Drosophila melanogaster: one gene and its partner. The protein of the gene in region 2 interacts with the protein of the main gene of each other region in a pairwise test. Each region holds a gene or a part of one and is shown on either strand. Other genes may lie near its edges.

Region 1 (9,304 bases), on a different chromosome or scaffold from region 2:
CCAAAAACGAGAAATGATAACAAGTTCAGACACTCTTATCGTCTGCGCAGCGTGGATAACCCGTTATTCGGCCTTGAGAGTTGAGCATATAGATGGCCAGCAAACTTTTTGATAAACTTTTTCGATTTGCACCTTCGTGTAATTTTGCTAACGAAGCAATTTTAACATTTATTCGCGAGTAGCGACTAATGGCGCCCATCCATTTGCTGCTAATCTCCGTGGGGTCCGCCGATCATGTCAATAAACTTTGGATCCCACATTCTCGGCTTATCGCCAACCTATATTAAGTATTCGCCCATATGATATAAACACCCAACAGCATTATCAGTTGTTTAACTTACATGAGTGTAAACATTTATGGTTCGGTTATTGTTCGCTCATTTCATTAAGCAATCAAAACATTAACCATAATTTATATAGATATGTACAATCTTAATTGGGTATTTCTATACTGCCTGACAACCAAAAATTGTATTGTTTGATAAATTCCACCGGTTAGCATCGAAAAAGAACTTTTCAAATATACATATATATTATATGCGTATATTAAAATAATCCAACAGATATATCAGTTGTTTGAGATAAAGAAATATACATACATATGTACTTATTGTTTAAGTTATTATTGGAAGTAATATAATATAATTTTCTCTATATTTTTATTGTTTTGTTACAAATTATAAAAAAACTAGTTTGTACCAATTCTTTGTTTGCTCATCATATATAGCATATGTGTATATCTTTAATGGTTGTGTGTATTTCGCAGAATGTCGAGCAGTGCAACCATCGCAACGCCGCTGCCGCAGCCGCAGCACCAGCAATTCGCGTAAGTTATCAATAAACATTTCAATTAGCCTGTGTAATTTAATCTTAAAGACAAACAAACATATTTGCTTTACAAAACCTATTTTTGCACGGCCAAACCAAACAAAATCACCTGGGAATTATATTAACAAAGGTAGCGCAAAGGGTTCATTTGTGTAATAAATATTATGATTAATAGCTATTCAACTCAAAAATAATAAAGTCTAAGTTCTTGGTTTTAAAGTTAGTTTCCCTTAGCCAATATCCACTGTATTTGAGTTTATCATCGTTAAAGACTCGTCACATGAATAGACATTTATACACATTTCATTTTCAAGTGCTTTGCCCTCAGCCATCAGACAGTTTTCCCCCTTCAACCCACATTTCCCTCAAATAGTTGCAATAAAACTAGGACAAATCGGAAGAGAAGGATAGCAGTACTATGACATAATATGATTGCATTTTGCACTTTGTTTTTCTTCTGGTCGATTGTTTAAAAAGAAATGCAAGCCGAAAATAGAAGCAAGCTAAGACTAGATAGTACTATTATAACCAATCACACATAAGTATGTATGTTTCCTTGGCAGTGCGCCAAATATTTCTTCCTTATTAATGATCAACACATTTGACCTTTTCTCTGCTTTAATTGTATGTTCAATAGTAGTCTCTTAGGAGCCCTGATTGTATATGTGGGCCAAGTTCAAAGCCAATAAGACTATTGTTTACATTTTGTTGTTGCACAGCGCGAATGCAAAGTTAGCGCAGTGCAAATATTTGTCAATTAGCCAAGCATAATGAGATAGCGTCAATTGCCAACGATTTAATTCCTTCTATTTGCAGCCTGCTGCCGAAGATCATTAACGGCGGAATTGCGGGAATCATCGGAGTGACATGCGTCTTCCCACTGGACTTGGTCAAGACGAGGCTGCAAAACCAGCAGATCGGACCCAATGGCGAACGCATGTACAACAGCATGTGAGTAAAGGCAAGCATGAATCTCTAGATGGCTTTATAATTTGAAATACCTTCGTAGGTTCGATTGCTTCCGCAAGACGTACAAGGCCGAAGGATACTTTGGCATGTACCGCGGCTCTGGCGTGAACATCCTGCTAATCACACCTGAGAAGGCCATCAAGTTGACCGCCAACGATTACTTCCGCCACAAGCTGACCACCAAGGATGGCAAACTTCCGCTGACCAGTCAGATGGTTGCCGGCGGTCTGGCCGGTGCATTCCAAATTATCGTCACCACGCCCATGGAGCTTCTCAAGATCCAGATGCAGGATGCGGGTCGCGTGGCGGCGGCGGCCAAATTGGCTGGCAAGACGGTGGAGAAGGTGTCGGCCACCCAATTGGCTTCCCAGCTTATCAAGGACAAGGGCATCTTTGGCCTGTACAAGGGTATCGGTGCCACAGGACTGCGAGATGTCACCTTCTCTATCATTTACTTCCCCCTTTTCGCTACTCTCAATGACCTGGGTCCACGACGAAACGATGGATCTGGCGAGGCTGTGTTCTGGTAAGTAAAGCATAATTGTCTATTTGTCATTTTTATATTTATTTTATGCTAATTAAATAGGTGCTCCTTCCTGGCGGGCTTGGCGGCCGGTTCCACCGCTGCCCTCGCAGTTAATCCCTTCGACGTGGTCAAGACGCGTCTGCAGGCGATTAAGAAGGCCGACGGTGAGAAGGAGTTCAAGGGCATATCAGATTGTATCACGTGAGTTCAAGAAATGTTGCCAATATATCCTTAAACTCATATAAATTCTCCAATAGTAAGACACTGAAGCACGAGGGACCCACCGCCTTCTTCAAGGGCGGCCTGTGCCGAATGATTGTGATTGCTCCTCTGTTCGGAATCGCTCAAACGGTCTACTATCTGGGCGTGGCCGAGGGCCTGCTGGGCTATCAGAAAAAGTAGGGCGGCTTGGAATGAGTGCGCGCCAAGGCGGATTGACAAGACCGAAGCATTTTAAATGTACTCTCTTTGAATATTGAATGTGTATGTATATCGTGTTTAAATGTTGTTAAAGCTGTCCATGAATGTAATCGTGAAGTCTCTATAGTAAGCTAAAGTAATCGAACGATGCGCCAGCCAGCGAAGTTGTTAAAGTTTTCCCCAATCCTCTTAAACTACTCAAACGATGTACTACATATGTATTTAGACCATGTCAGAAGATAACTGATGCTCCAATGACAATAAGATAAAGCAAATTAATCGCTGATATAATGTACATTTTTGGTTAATATCATAGTCTATAACTGTTGTGTTTGGATACTCTCTCTATTTAGTCTTTATTTCCCGAGCAATCCGCAGCTAGCCATGAACGTTCTGCATCAAATTGTATTAGTAATGCATTTTTCTTTGCTGCCAGGCGAAATTTACTTTTAGTGGCATTCAAGAACATGACTAGAGAAATTGTATGCTTTATAAAAACCGTCAGAATTGAACTAACGAAATATACTAATGTAAATTCAAAATTTTCGTACAACATTAATTATTTCTTGGCCTATAAAAAAAATGTTGGAACAAGTTGAGCAAAAGAACCAAGAGCAAAAAAAACCACAAAAGTTTAAGTTAATAAGTTCTACCATATGGTTAATACTACAACCTATACTTAATTGCGAACCCATCACAGCGTTTTTCCGAAAATTATAAATGGCGGCGTCGCCGGTATTATTGGAGTGGCATGCGTCTATCCACTGGACATGGTTAAGACGCGACTGCAAAACCAAACAATAGGTCCCAATGGAGAGCGCATGTACACCAGCATGTGAGTTTTGGGTTTTCGGTTTGGGTTGTGTTTTGTTATTATCCGCCTAATGGAGAACTCTATTGCCTTAGCGCCGACTGTTTCCGAAAGACTATCGCCAGCGAAGGCTATTTTGGAATGTACAGAGGCTCAGCGGTGAACATCGTGCTGATTACGCCCGAGAAAGCCATCAAGTTGACCGCCAACGACTTCTTTCGGTATCATCTGGCATCCGATGACGGGGTTATTCCGTTGTCACGGGCTACTTTGGCCGGGGGCCTGGCCGGGCTATTCCAGATCGTGGTCACCACGCCCATGGAGCTCCTCAAGATACAGATGCAGGACGCCGGGCGGGTGGCTGCTGCCGACCGAGCGGCAGGACGAGAGGTGAAAACTATAACGGCCTTGGGTCTGACCAAGACGCTCCTTCGTGAGCGTGGAATCTTCGGTTTATACAAGGGTGTGGGCGCCACTGGAGTGCGGGATATTACGTTCTCGATGGTGTACTTTCCGCTAATGGCCTGGATAAATGACCAGGGGCCACGCAAGTCAGATGGTTCTGGGGAAGCGGTCTTCTACTGGTCTCTGATAGCTGGACTCTTGTCTGGCATGACTTCTGCCTTTATGGTCACCCCTTTTGATGTGGTCAAGACTCGACTGCAGGCCGATGGCGAGAAGAAGTTCAAAGGCATCATGGACTGTGTAAATAGGACCCTTAAGGAAGAGGGCATAAGTGCATTCTTTAAGGGCGGTCTATGTCGGATAATGGTGCTAGCTCCACTATTTGGTATCGCGCAAATGTTTTATTTTTTGGGTGTGGGCGAGAAGATTCTGGGCATCGAGCGAACGAAATCTGTGTAACTTATAATTAAAGGTCTCTTCCCCCCCCTCATATTAATAAGAATTTTTTTATCCCCGAGTCGATTAAGCCATGTCCGTTTTATCCGTCCGTCTTCTACACAAGCTAGTTCCCCAGGTTTGAAGCTATCTGTATGAAACTTTCCCAAATTGGACGGCTACATCATAGAGGAATTATCCTATATAAACCAATATTTAGAATTTAATGAAATGAAATGACTTCTAGGAGCTCAATTAACATTTAATGTGTGTATTTTCTTATTGCATCTATACATATAATCGATAAGTAATCTTCAAGAATCAGCCCAGGGTTGATTTGCAGCCCATCTCTCTCATCACAATCCTTTCACCTCAGCTACTCCTCAGTCACCTTAGATCACATCCGCTGGCCGGCTGTTCGGAGCAGCCGCATTCTCAGTACCCAAATCCACGTAACGAGCACGATACCAGCGGGCCACTGCAGCTCGATACCAGTCGAGGAATAGGGCCTGTCGGTAGAGGATGATACCCATTTGCAGGATGAGGAAGCCCATGATCGTGACCAGATTCATGTACTCCCACTCCATGATAATCACAAACACCCAGATGAAGTAAACGCGTAGGCCATCGGCCAGAAGCCGGTTGGCGCTGGACGAGTACATCGCAATGTACAGTCCAATGAAGTTGTACATGGCACATGAGATGGTGAAGGCAATCAGAGTCATAATCAATGAGATACTCCCCTGCAGAGCCGCAAAGAGATCACCCCAATCGTCGAAAACTGCACGCGAACTACAGCTAAATGGATCAATGCTCGGCAGGAAGTTCATGCAAATGGCCAGCATCGAGGTGATGCCCAAGCCGAAGATTCCCTGCCAGCCAGCAGCTTGCAGTGGAGCAACATTCGAGGTTTTTAGCTGTTTCTCCTCGCAAACATATTGCAGTCCGTGCAGAATTTCAGCAATGATGATGAGTAAGTCGCCGGTCAGAATGGATTTGTAGTCCGTGTAAGGCAACGTGACCAGGTCGTATTCAACGCGATGGACGTCCAGACTGATAATGTCCAGCAGGCCGCACGATATCGTAAAGATGGCCAGCCAGTGCCGTCCGGTCAGCGTGTGATTCAGAAACATGGTGCTAAAGATGCCCACAAAGATCAGGGCGGCGCCTGCGGGAAAGATGAGGCGACGTAAGTAATGATAAGCAAGGCCACTGTCTGATAGAAGTACCTCTTATCATCTGAAAGCTGGTGGCGTAAGTCAAGTAAAGTCCGGTGAACAACAGAATGGAGGCTGCCGCATCCAGCAAAGTGGGCAATAGCATGCTAACAGGGCGGAACTCACTGCTGTCCTGCGACAAGATGCTATCCAGATCGGATATAACCTGTGTATGATTGCCAGATGATTAAAAGTTCCTTAAATACAAAAGCTTTGCCGATTATAAACCAACCGGCATTGGAACTTACTCCACGACGATTGGAGATCAGGCGGATCACCTTGAAGACCGCAAAGCACAGGAACTCGCCCAGGAACATGAGCAGTGTGAACACCACTGGATGTTGAAATCCATGAAGTTTTCCATCGCTGCCGATTACCTGTTGTTGATTGGCCCACCTGCAATGCGTACACGCACACACAGCATCGAGTGCACATTTATTTAGCACTATTACTTACTATTATTAAGCGATCTTTTGGTACTCACTTCACCACCAGAACGTTGAAGGTGCCGCTGAGCACAAAGATCAGCGACAGGAAAACACGATGATCCATTCGTCGGCGGAAGATTCACTTGACGGGTGCAGCGTTAATTCGATTTATAAATATTGACGTTCTTTGTGCAATTTGCAATTGTGACTGCGCAGTGATAAGTGCAAAAAAGTGCGGCCAGACGGTCAATTGACTGCCCTTCCACAGATCTATATAATCCACTTGAGTTGTTGTGGTCATTAACCAGTAACTTTACCTTTTTCAAGGTCAAAAACCTAAGTAACTAGTAATTTTTTTGCAAGTAGTGCGAATTAGTTTGTCTTTACGGGACTTTTGTTTATTTTTTTTCGCCAACAGTGAGACCGCACAGGCTAGCAAAAATACTACACAAAATATAGTGAGCAGGAAATCAACAACGAATATGGTCACACTACAAAGCAACTGGTGGGTTTTAAATTGGCGCGTGAAATTATATTTTGAAATTAAAACTGAATCGACACCAAAATGCTTATGGATTTAATATTAGGGAAAGTGTCACATAAAACTTCGTTGACGATCTTTGGGACTTTACAAATTGTATAAATATTTCAACAGAAAAATGGATTACTTTTGCCAAGTTTTTATTAAACACAAACTTAAAAAATATCACAGGATATGAAAAACCATTTAAATGAAAATACATGAAGTGGTGTTAATGCATTTGCCGCACAATTGCCATCAATTTGCTTCCGTTGGCGCCTGCGTCGCATTCTGTGCTAATTTCCTGTAAATAATTCAATATTATAATATAGTATAGGATCGCAAAATCGATATTTAGCAAACATTAGCAAGCAAAAACACAGTTGGCAACCAAAGCGTGTCCTGTCGCCTCACCTGTACTCTGTGGTGTTTCTTTAAGTGTTGTGATAATGTCTTTGAGTATCTTGTGTTCTATTTAAGTATCGTTTCGTGGAGTGTAGGTGTTCCTAGAGCTCATCTCGCGCCTGGGAGGACGATGGCAGCGTCACCTCCTCCACGGAGCCCAGGTGTATGGTTCTATTTGGCCGACTGAACTTTGGTATGTATGCGACCGAGTCGCTGTTGCTGACCACCGAGTTATGTAGGTGTTCCGTGGGTGCCGCGGGATCAGGACTTGTGAGTGTGATTTTCGAACCAGTGGCCACTCTGTGGAATGCATGTATGTGGGCGGGTATTGTACTGGTGGTGTGACAAGTGGACTAAATAATTCGGATAAATATTCGAATATCCTATGAGTACCTATCTGGGCCGTAACTGATTGTTGTGTACCAAAGTTAGTTATGTATGGTTAGTATAGCGCTACTTGGCTGGTATTAGATTTTGGGGGTATAGCAAAAAAACTGGTCATCTCTCTTGTACCTTATGTACAGCTTTTGGAGGTGATTGTAGTCGAAGAGGAAAGATCTAGATTGGTTGAAAAGATCTATTGGCGCTGGCGGGCTCCACCGCGTGCTCCGCGCAACTTTTGTGGGTTTCTAATGCAGATCAGAGATCGTAATCAGAGATTCGGACTCAGATCCGCCACCTTACCTGTCCCTGGCCTGCATGCTGGCCTCCACGTCCAGGTTGCGAGGCTGCCGGAAGTCGCATTCCAGCGAGAAGGCCGAATCTCCGGGTGTGATCAGCTCTGGGTCGTTTTGGATCACCACGATGTTGGTGTAGAGATCACCATCCCGGATCGTCTGGCACTGGTCCAGCTGGAAGTTCATCTCCATTGTGCGGGATCCCTGGCTGGAAGATGGCTTCATGAAGCACGGCGCAGACTGCTTGTAGAAGCTGCCACGAGTGTACATCACACCCATGAAAGGCTTCTCCGTCTCCAGCACCACGTTCATGGAGTCCGCTCCGCACTTGAGGTTAACCTTTTGAATGCCCTGGTCGCTGCCCTCGATTTTAAAGGTGTCCGAAAGGTCTTGTTCCCAGATTTCTGCAATAGGGCGAAACAATTTCATGCTTGACATTAAAGGTGGTTTATGTAACACGTTTCTATGCTATTAAGTAAAAATATCTGCTTCTTTTGCTTTTTAATGTAATGTTGTACGTTTAGTAAACTAGGTATAATTGTTCCAATTAAAAAAATGCAAGTAACTAAACATAAAAGCCTGCTTAAGTTCTTCAACTTTCTTTAAGCATTTATAGACTATAACTCTCCTTTTCTTTTGTTGGCCACTTTTAAGTGCTTTCTTCGCGTAAGTAACCGTTAGAACCACCTGAGCCTACCATTTCTGTGCACCTTATCCACCGAACCGTTGAAGTTCACTCATCTCTCAGATAGCCGGCATTGCTGGTAACCGGTTTCTGTTTATTTTGGTCTGGCTAGAACAGCGCGCAGCAAAAGAACTTGGCATTGGGAATTTCTTCGCCCAACCTGGATGATTCAGTCACGTTGTTCTCTTGCTGACCCAAGTCGACGATCTTACCTTGGTTTTGATTTTTCTGCTGCTTATTGGCAGATACGTGCACAGCCAACAGCAAATTGCAGGCGAACAAAAGCAGAAAGCCATTCATTAATCCCGACATATTACTGCACTTTATTATTATTTAATACAAAACGATTTAAAGTTATAGCGAGTTTCCTGACTCTCGTAGATATCTTCACAGCTGCAAGCCAAGATTCAAACTGACGAAGCAAATGCGGCTGCGCAGCGCATATAAGCGCGACTCAAAAACTCCACTCACCACAGGCGATGAAAGAAAACTGGAAATATGACTCGACTTAAGAGAGGAAGAGTCGACTCCACAGAGAGTCGGTGAGAATTTGGTCAATAGCAGAGCATGAAAACAGTTAATTGCACTGCGCTTTTGATAAGGCGAAAATTTATTGGCAGCGCCGATGGAAAACCAAAACGAATCCATAAGTATAGACATATTGAGTACCCATCAAAATGATGTACATATATGTAATTATTTAAAAATTCTACAAAAAGATTTAGATTCCTTTTCTGGAAACCAAAAACATTTATTTAAATTAAATTAATTAATTAATTAAGTAGATACGAAATTCTTTTGACAATATCTAGCTTTGTAATGTTTTAGAACTCTTAAAACAATAAATATTTGACGAATTTTTTAAGTAAATCTTAAAACGATAAACTACATTTTTCCAGGGTATAAATATTTATTTAAAGCGGCACTTTAAGGAAAACAAAATGCGGCATCGCTCCAAAGACATTTCCGCTTTTCGCG
Region 2 (7,717 bases):
CTTCAATTTACATATGTTTGTTAATATTTTTTTTTACAAATCCCTTTGCTCTATGTTGACTAATTTACAATAATTCACAAATAAAAATAGGAATAATTTAAACATTTTGTAAGCGTAGCTTAACACTATTTTGGCTTTTTCCAAATATTCGATTTCAATGATAAACGATATATCCCAGCGCGCGTTTCTTTTTGGTATTTTTTAGGTTCATTTTCGGGCTGAGAATGACAATCTGAATTTTGCACAGTAGGTTCGATTTGAAGCGACATTTTCCCTGCTATATACAAATTTGTAAATTTTAATTGTTCAAAAGGTGTGTTGCTTGCGGCAGACTTGAGAACTGAATTTTAACCGGCGTTGTCTATTGCAGCTATCGAAGCACGAAGAAAGCATCATGTCTCGCGGAAGTTCAGCCGGCTTTGACAGACACATCACGATCTTCTCTCCGGAGGGACGCCTCTACCAAGTGGGTTAGTATCCTGGCACTTGCGGCTCCATTGTATCCAGTCTGACATTCTCATTTCCCCGCCAGAGTACGCCTTCAAGGCTATTGCCCAGGAGAACATCACCACGGTGGCGCTGAAGAGTGGCGACTGTGCCGTGGTGGCCACCCAAAAAAAAGTGACCGAGAAGAACATCGTGCCTGAAACGGTGACCCACCTGTTCCGCATCACCAAGGACATTGGATGCGCAATGACCGGACGCATAGGTATGAACCATAGATACTTTAAATTCTTGTTTATCCCGGCGTGATTCGAGTCAAATTCCAGTCGAGTTAGCACAGAGTTATCCCATTGTTGATATGTCCCATGTAACCAAGTAGCGATTCACTTATGATTGTGCTAAAATCAGAAGAAATAGCCTGCCAGACATTAGGGCAAAGGCGTATAGCGTGGAGCCATTTTAAACGTAGTTTTCACACGGTGCTTCAACTAGAAAAGAGGACATATCAACCCAAGAGTGTCACTAAATACTTAAAATTATTTCTCTCCCCTAGCTGATTCCCGCTCACAGGTGCAGAAGGCCAGATACGAGGCCGCCAACTTCCGCTACAAGTACGGCTACGAAATGCCCGTGGATGTGCTGTGTCGTCGAATTGCGGATATCAACCAGGTGTACACGCAGAATGCCGAGATGCGTCCGCTCGGCTGCAGCATGGTGCTGATCGCTTACGACAATGAAATCGGCCCCAGCGTTTACAAGACGGACCCGGCTGGCTACTTCAGCGGGTTCAAGGCCTGCAGCGTGGGTGCCAAGACTCTGGAGGCCAACAGCTATCTGGAAAAGAAGTACAAGCCCAACTTGTCGGAGGAGAAAGCGATCCAGCTGGCCATCTCCTGTCTGTCCAGTGTGCTCGCTATAGACTTCAAGCCGAACGGCATTGAGATCGGCGTGGTCAGCAAGTCTGATCCCACTTTCCGTATTTTGGATGAGCGGGAGATCGAGGAACACCTCACCAAGATCGCCGAGAAGGACTAAGTTCTGTCCCGCTAGCTGTAATTTTGTCATATTTTATAAAGCCTCTTGGATCTATGGTTAAATAAAAAATGCTCTTGGCTTGCATTCAAAACAAAGGCAAATCCGAAAACGTTTTATTTCTTCTTGTGCACCTTACCGCCGTATCGCATGACAAAGGCATTTACATCGAATTTGCGACGGCATCCCTGATAGTTCATGTACCTAACCTTACCGAAGATAGCCCGCTCCTTCCAGCCCATGTCATGGACGCCGCCAATGGACCACATGCAGCCCACATAGCCGTTGGGGTCGCGACCATCCAGACTGTACTTGTCGTTCAGCAGGATTGCGTACTCCAACGCATGCTCCGGTGTCGCTGTCCATTCCAGAATCTTTTTGGCCCAGTACATGCGCAAAAAGCCGTGCATCTTTCCCTCGCGTACCAGCTGCAGTTGCGCCGAGTTCCACAGGTCGTCATAAGTGAGAGACTAGGAAAAAATTATAAAATCATTTTAGTCTCAAATCAAAAGAAAAAGAATCCGTGGTGAACCTTTTCTAGTTCTTCTAAGCTGTAGCAGGGATCTCGCTTGTCCTTGCGATGTGCATCTAGCGTTTGATATGCCCAAGAACTTAGACCTTTAAGACTATCATAGTGCTCGTTGTAGAAGCAAAAGTTATCCGCCAGTTCGCGGCGCACAATGGCCTCCTCGCAAAACGCATCCGCCGAGGCTTTGTGTTGTCCTCGAAACCGCTGCACCTCCAGTGCACAGCGCTGAGCCGAAATATGACCAAAGTGCAGCCACGGCGAGAGTCCGGACAAGGCGTCTGCCGTGGGATCGTTTCGTTTGTCATTGAAATGGCGCAAACGACGACTGCAGAACTCGTAGAGCTGCTGGCAGGCTGCTTTATACCCCGGCTTGGCCCACTGCACCTCGTCCACTTCCATGTCGCACTGCAGCGAAGCATAAGCAGCTGACCAGTCCACGGTATTCACATTCTTGCAGCCAGTTCCATGAGGATGCCGCACAACTGGTGGGAATACGCTGAGGTACTCCCCTAGCTTGGAGTTGATCTTGTTGCGGATGGTACGCGCAGCGTACTCCTGTTTGTCGGAGGCCACCCACAAGGGGACTACATTGTGAGCATCGACTTGCACCAACGGCACGCTCTTGGGCAGTGCCTTGCCCACATCCTCGACCCATTGGCGTGGCAAACGCAGCGGAGCAAAGTCACAGACTACGGCTCCGATGTCCTTGGATTTCACAAATTGTGGTAACTTTTCAACAGCGGAGCCCATCAGCAGGTGAAACGGTATGTCAAGGGCGCGACACTGCTGCTCCACCTCCTGCAGGCCGCCCATCATGAATTTGTAGTGCCTGATAGTGGCATTCAGGAATTTGGGAACTAGGCAAAATACCACAGTTAAGGGTAATTCCAGCTTGAGAGCCAGACGCTGGGCAAAGAGCAGGGCCCAGTTGTCCTGTACGCGCCCGTCGCGGGACATCCAGTAGACGACGCCGCCTAGGCTGGATTCCTTTACATCTTCGGTTTTGGACAGAACGCGCACTCGTTTCTTTCGAAAAGAGAACTCCTGTATGTTGGCTGCCGTGCAGACTCGCTGGTGTTCCAAGTGGGTAAGAAACTGCTCGAAGTTTTGGTAATCCGGCTTAGAAACCAACAAAGCCTTCGATGTGGAGGCCTCCTCATCGCTGCTTTCCTGGTCACTTTTGGGCTCGGAGCTGGCCTTCTCGTTTTTTGCTGCCTTTTTGGAAGGACCTGCCTTCTGCGCCTTCGTACGCTTCATCGCCTGCAGCGGAAGAACCTGAACATGAATGAAAAATCGTGATTTGATTTTTACTAATTCGATTTAACCCACAATCTTGAATGATTCGCGCCAATATGAAGCAAGTGTAAACATAACTGTATAACGATATGGCGACTCTATCAGCTGTTCAATGAGAGTGAAAATTATGCTAGTAGCCGCACTCCAAATACACTTCCCTTGGAAGAGAAATTATTATGAATTAACATAAATAAAGAATTAAGTATTATGTTTAAATTTATATTAGTAGATTTTTTTTTGGCATAATATTTTAAGGAAAGTTGTGGCTTTCGGTTTTGAAATACATTTAACTCCAGATGTTCCTATTTCCTAAACATTCCCTAAGATTTCAATAGTCTCAGTGCCGCATACGATACACAGCAGTTATCGATTACAAAAAGAGTGCAGATCTGAAAGCGCACGTTGAAATTAAACCGATTCTTTACTGTTTTATAATAAAATGTTTTATATTGGGAATGAAAATGGACGAAACTGTGGACGAAGCGGAATTTAATGCCAATATCGGCCGTATTGCTCGATCTACGCTTTTGCACGATGCTGAACAATCGATCCACAGGGAGTTGATCGACTACGCTGTTGCGTCGTGCCGTCTGTTTTACATCCAGGATGCTTCAGCCTGGAAGGAGTGGAACACCAGGAACGAGGCTTTCAGGGATCTCACTGCCAAGGAAGTGTGCCATTTATTCCTAACCGAAGTTCTGCCCCAACTGGACACCTATCAGCTTTCGGAGATGGCCCAAAAACGCCTTAAGCTTCTGGATCTGCATCCATTCTTCAGGCGCGTTGCCCAAGGCTACCAGTACACTCCGGATTGTGACCTTGCAGCTCGATTTGTAGTCCAGCGCCAGAAACATTTTATCCAACCTGAAGATATCAAGAAGATTAAGGTAAGCATATCTGTCGGCGAATAATTTTGATGCCAATTTACTATGTACATGCATAAATATGAATGTATTTACTTAAAATTGCTTTCGTTAATAAACAATAAGTACCCTTTTTTTAATTTAATTTAATCTATCCTTATGCAGTTATCCGGGCACTTACACATCACATTATAATCTTATATCTCTTACTCTCTTAATCCAATAGTATGATATTAATTTTTGCTCGATTTTTATAGAAAGGCGATTCCCTGAAAAGATGCCAAACCGTGCTCATGGAAAGCGATGAAATGGAGCAGAAAACCTGCGTTGGGTATCGAAGCAAAGTCTCCATGGAGTCCGCCGTTCTGTTCTCGGTACTGTTGTCCACCAACCATGAGCTTTCTATTGGAAAGATGCTCGATATGAGTGAGATTCACGAAAGAATGCGGCGCGCCAAACAGTCATTCGAGGATACTGCTAGAGTTACTCCGTTCCGAACGAACATTGATGACCTAATCTCCGATTTGGATGTCTGTGCTAAGGTCAAATCCAAACTTTGTCGAGTAATAAGTGATTGTAAAAAGTACTAGAAAGGATTAGCTATATCTTTTATCTATATTTAATACTTTTATTTCATTTTAATCAATAGTATAAAATTATTTCTCTGGATTTTAGGTGACTATAAGAAGACTATTTTTGTAATATTTTTGAACCATTTAAGCTCAAAATACAACTTACTATTCATATTTTAATATATAATTCCATGTTATCATGAATTTATTAGAATTTATATATACAAGTAAAGATTCGAAATTCAGCTTCGACCCGCTCCTTACGATTGTTATCTATATTATCAATTAATACATTAAGGTTGCTCATCATAATTGTTAATTGTTTGCTCATAAAAGCGTTTAAAAATGAAAGATGGGAAATACTTTTTTAGCTTTCCCTTATTGTCTCTAAAGTAAGATCGTAGTCATGATACAAGCTCTTCCTAAATGTGTAGAAATAATGATACATTTGTATTATATATACATAAACGCGAAATATTAAAAAGAAACATTCCGAAAATTAAAGAATTGCATTAGTTTACAACAAAAACTATCGAATCTCTCTAATCAAAACGACGCGCCAAGCCAAATTTAGTACATTATCTGTGCTGAATCATTTTCGCTGTGCCGCAATATTTAATTAACTGCAGCGATCATTGCAGTTTTAGCCACCAGAGAAGCGTAACATAGAAATCAAAATGCAGAAGGTTGCACTGCTTCTAGTCGCCTTCCTGGCTGCGGCCGTGGCCCACCCAAATTCGCAGGAGAAGCCCGGATTGCTGCGCGTACCGCTCCACAAATTTCAGTCGGCCCGCCGGCACTTTGCGGATGTGGGCACGGAGCTGCAGCAATTGCGCATTAGGTACGGCGGAGGTGATGTGCCGGAACCGCTGTCCAACTATATGGACGCGCAGTACTATGGGCCCATTGCCATTGGCTCGCCACCGCAGAACTTCCGTGTGGTTTTCGACACCGGCTCCTCGAACTTGTGGGTGCCGTCCAAGAAGTGCCACCTGACCAACATCGCCTGTTTGATGCACAACAAGTACGATGCCTCCAAGTCGAAGACCTACACCAAGAACGGCACTGAGTTCGCCATCCAGTATGGCTCGGGCAGCTTGTCCGGATACCTGTCCACGGATACGGTGTCCATTGCCGGCCTGGACATCAAGGATCAGACATTCGCTGAGGCGCTCAGTGAGCCGGGCCTGGTCTTCGTAGCTGCCAAGTTCGACGGCATCCTAGGCCTGGGCTACAACTCCATCTCGGTGGACAAGGTGAAGCCGCCATTTTACGCCATGTACGAACAGGGTTTGATCTCCGCTCCGGTGTTCTCATTCTACCTGAATCGCGATCCCGCCTCGCCCGAGGGCGGTGAGATCATCTTTGGCGGCTCCGATCCCAACCACTACACTGGTGAATTCACCTACTTGCCCGTTACCCGCAAGGCCTACTGGCAAATCAAGATGGATGCCGCCTCCATTGGCGATTTGCAGCTGTGCAAGGGCGGTTGCCAGGTGATCGCTGACACCGGTACCTCACTAATTGCTGCGCCCTTGGAAGAGGCCACCTCTATTAACCAGAAGATTGGTGGAACTCCCATCATCGGTGGTCAGGTGAGTACCATGCTCTAAGTTCTCACATGAAGCACTGCTAATCCTCTTAATTTCTTACTTTAGTATGTGGTTTCTTGCGATCTCATTCCCCAATTGCCGGTAATCAAGTTTGTGCTGGGCGGAAAGACCTTCGAGCTCGAGGGCAAGGACTATATTCTCCGTGTGGCCCAGATGGGTAAGACCATCTGTCTGTCCGGCTTTATGGGCTTGGACATCCCCCCTCCAAACGGACCCTTGTGGATCCTCGGTGACGTTTTCATTGGCAAATACTACACCGAGTTTGACATGGGCAACGATCGTGTGGGCTTCGCCGATGCCAAATAATCGAACAAAGAAAAGTATACTTAAAATTTAAATTGTAAACATTATCGATCGATCCCATTGCGGGTTTCTCCGAAGAATAATATATAAATTATCATTTTAGTAGATTTTCCATATATTTATTAGCGTAAGTTTATTAATTACAATAGGGCTTGCGCGGTCTGCACTTAATGAGACGAATAGTAAGTACGTGGCGATGACCGACGCTTCTAATCTTCCAAAATCGACTAACTTAAGTATAGCAAGAGTTCTTATCTCTAAAGCTTAACAAGTTACAGTTTCTTATAGGTAAAGCTCGATCTATAGATGGGAAAAGCACTTGAGGCTTACGACTATATTTCGGGTGTTTTGTGATTGTGTTAACTCCTCCCCTTCTAAGACGAAGGCTGTCCACAGACTTTTTACAATTGGCAAATCTATTTGAAAGCGGATCTTACGGGTAACATTGGTTGTGCACTAAGTTCCCATACTGCCAACCTGGTACTGCGTTAAACCATCGAAGGGAAGGCAGCTCTGCGTGTCTGGATGATCCGAGAAGTTCGTAAATGCTGCTGATTCTCCATGTCATGGGTTCGCAACAAGGTTCTGGAGATGATCGTAGCGAACTTGGAAAAAATCTTTATTGTAACCGTCGACTTGTTGACGACGATGATGCTGATGTTGGTTGAACTAGTTGACCATCAAAACGTATGTGTTGAACGCACTCTGGTTGGCGTCTGATGGCAGATATTATTCAGTTCGTCGTTTCAGTACCCAGGCGCAGAAATAGTTGCCGCATCTTTACGTCTTTAGCAGATACTACGTTGATAGATCTTAATTCCCTCTTCTACTCTTCTCATCTACTTAAGAGGTAGTTACAGTTTTAATACTAAAGTTTTGACAATAATTAAGTATAACAATTATAATTTTATAATAAAGTTCATTCAGATATTTTTGATATTAAAGTATGTAGTAAAACGCTTATTGATTGCAAGTATTGATTTTCCTATTTAGTTGAACAGAATCAGGAAAGGGTATTGATAACATTAGTGTTTTATTTTTTTTTAATCGGGAATTTGAAATCTA

Evidence for each region.
Region 1: the proteins of phr (region 2) and Tango9 interact in a two-hybrid assay, tested with the Drosophila melanogaster proteins (one large-scale study listed by BioGRID).

The regions. Positions count from the first base shown.
Region 1 is NT_033777.3:11,968,451-11,977,754, forward strand, and holds Tango9 (transport and golgi organization 9), read right to left. Parts: upstream 6,461-9,304; 5' UTR 6,164-6,460; coding exon 6,096-6,163; intron 6,008-6,095; coding exon 5,860-6,007; intron 5,778-5,859; coding exon 5,624-5,777; intron 5,563-5,623; coding exon 4,787-5,562; 3' UTR 4,419-4,786; coding exon of another isoform or gene 3,650-4,418; 3' UTR 3,579-3,649; coding exon of another isoform or gene 3,444-3,578; 3' UTR 3,382-3,443; coding exon of another isoform or gene 3,326-3,381; 3' UTR 2,726-3,325; coding exon of another isoform or gene 2,581-2,725; 3' UTR 2,557-2,580; downstream 1-2,556. Other genes in the region: GC1 (glutamate carrier 1), read left to right, coding at 768-826, 1,645-1,779, 1,838-2,323, 2,384-2,524, 2,581-2,725; GC2 (glutamate carrier 2), read left to right, coding at 3,326-3,381, 3,444-3,578, 3,650-4,418; CG10005 (uncharacterized protein), read right to left, coding at 7,066-7,264, 7,649-8,045, 8,539-8,638.
Region 2 is NT_033778.4:7,821,163-7,828,879, reverse strand, and holds phr (photorepair), read right to left. Parts: upstream 3,592-7,717; 5' UTR 3,377-3,591; coding exon 3,335-3,376; exon of another isoform or gene 3,281-3,334; coding exon 2,009-3,280; intron 1,947-2,008; coding exon 1,593-1,946; 3' UTR 1,561-1,592; downstream 1-1,560. Other genes in the region: Prosalpha1 (proteasome alpha1 subunit), read left to right, coding at 395-470, 533-709, 998-1,479; CG30383 (uncharacterized protein), read left to right, coding at 3,757-4,188, 4,422-4,754; cathD (cathepsin D), read left to right, coding at 5,414-6,331, 6,395-6,655.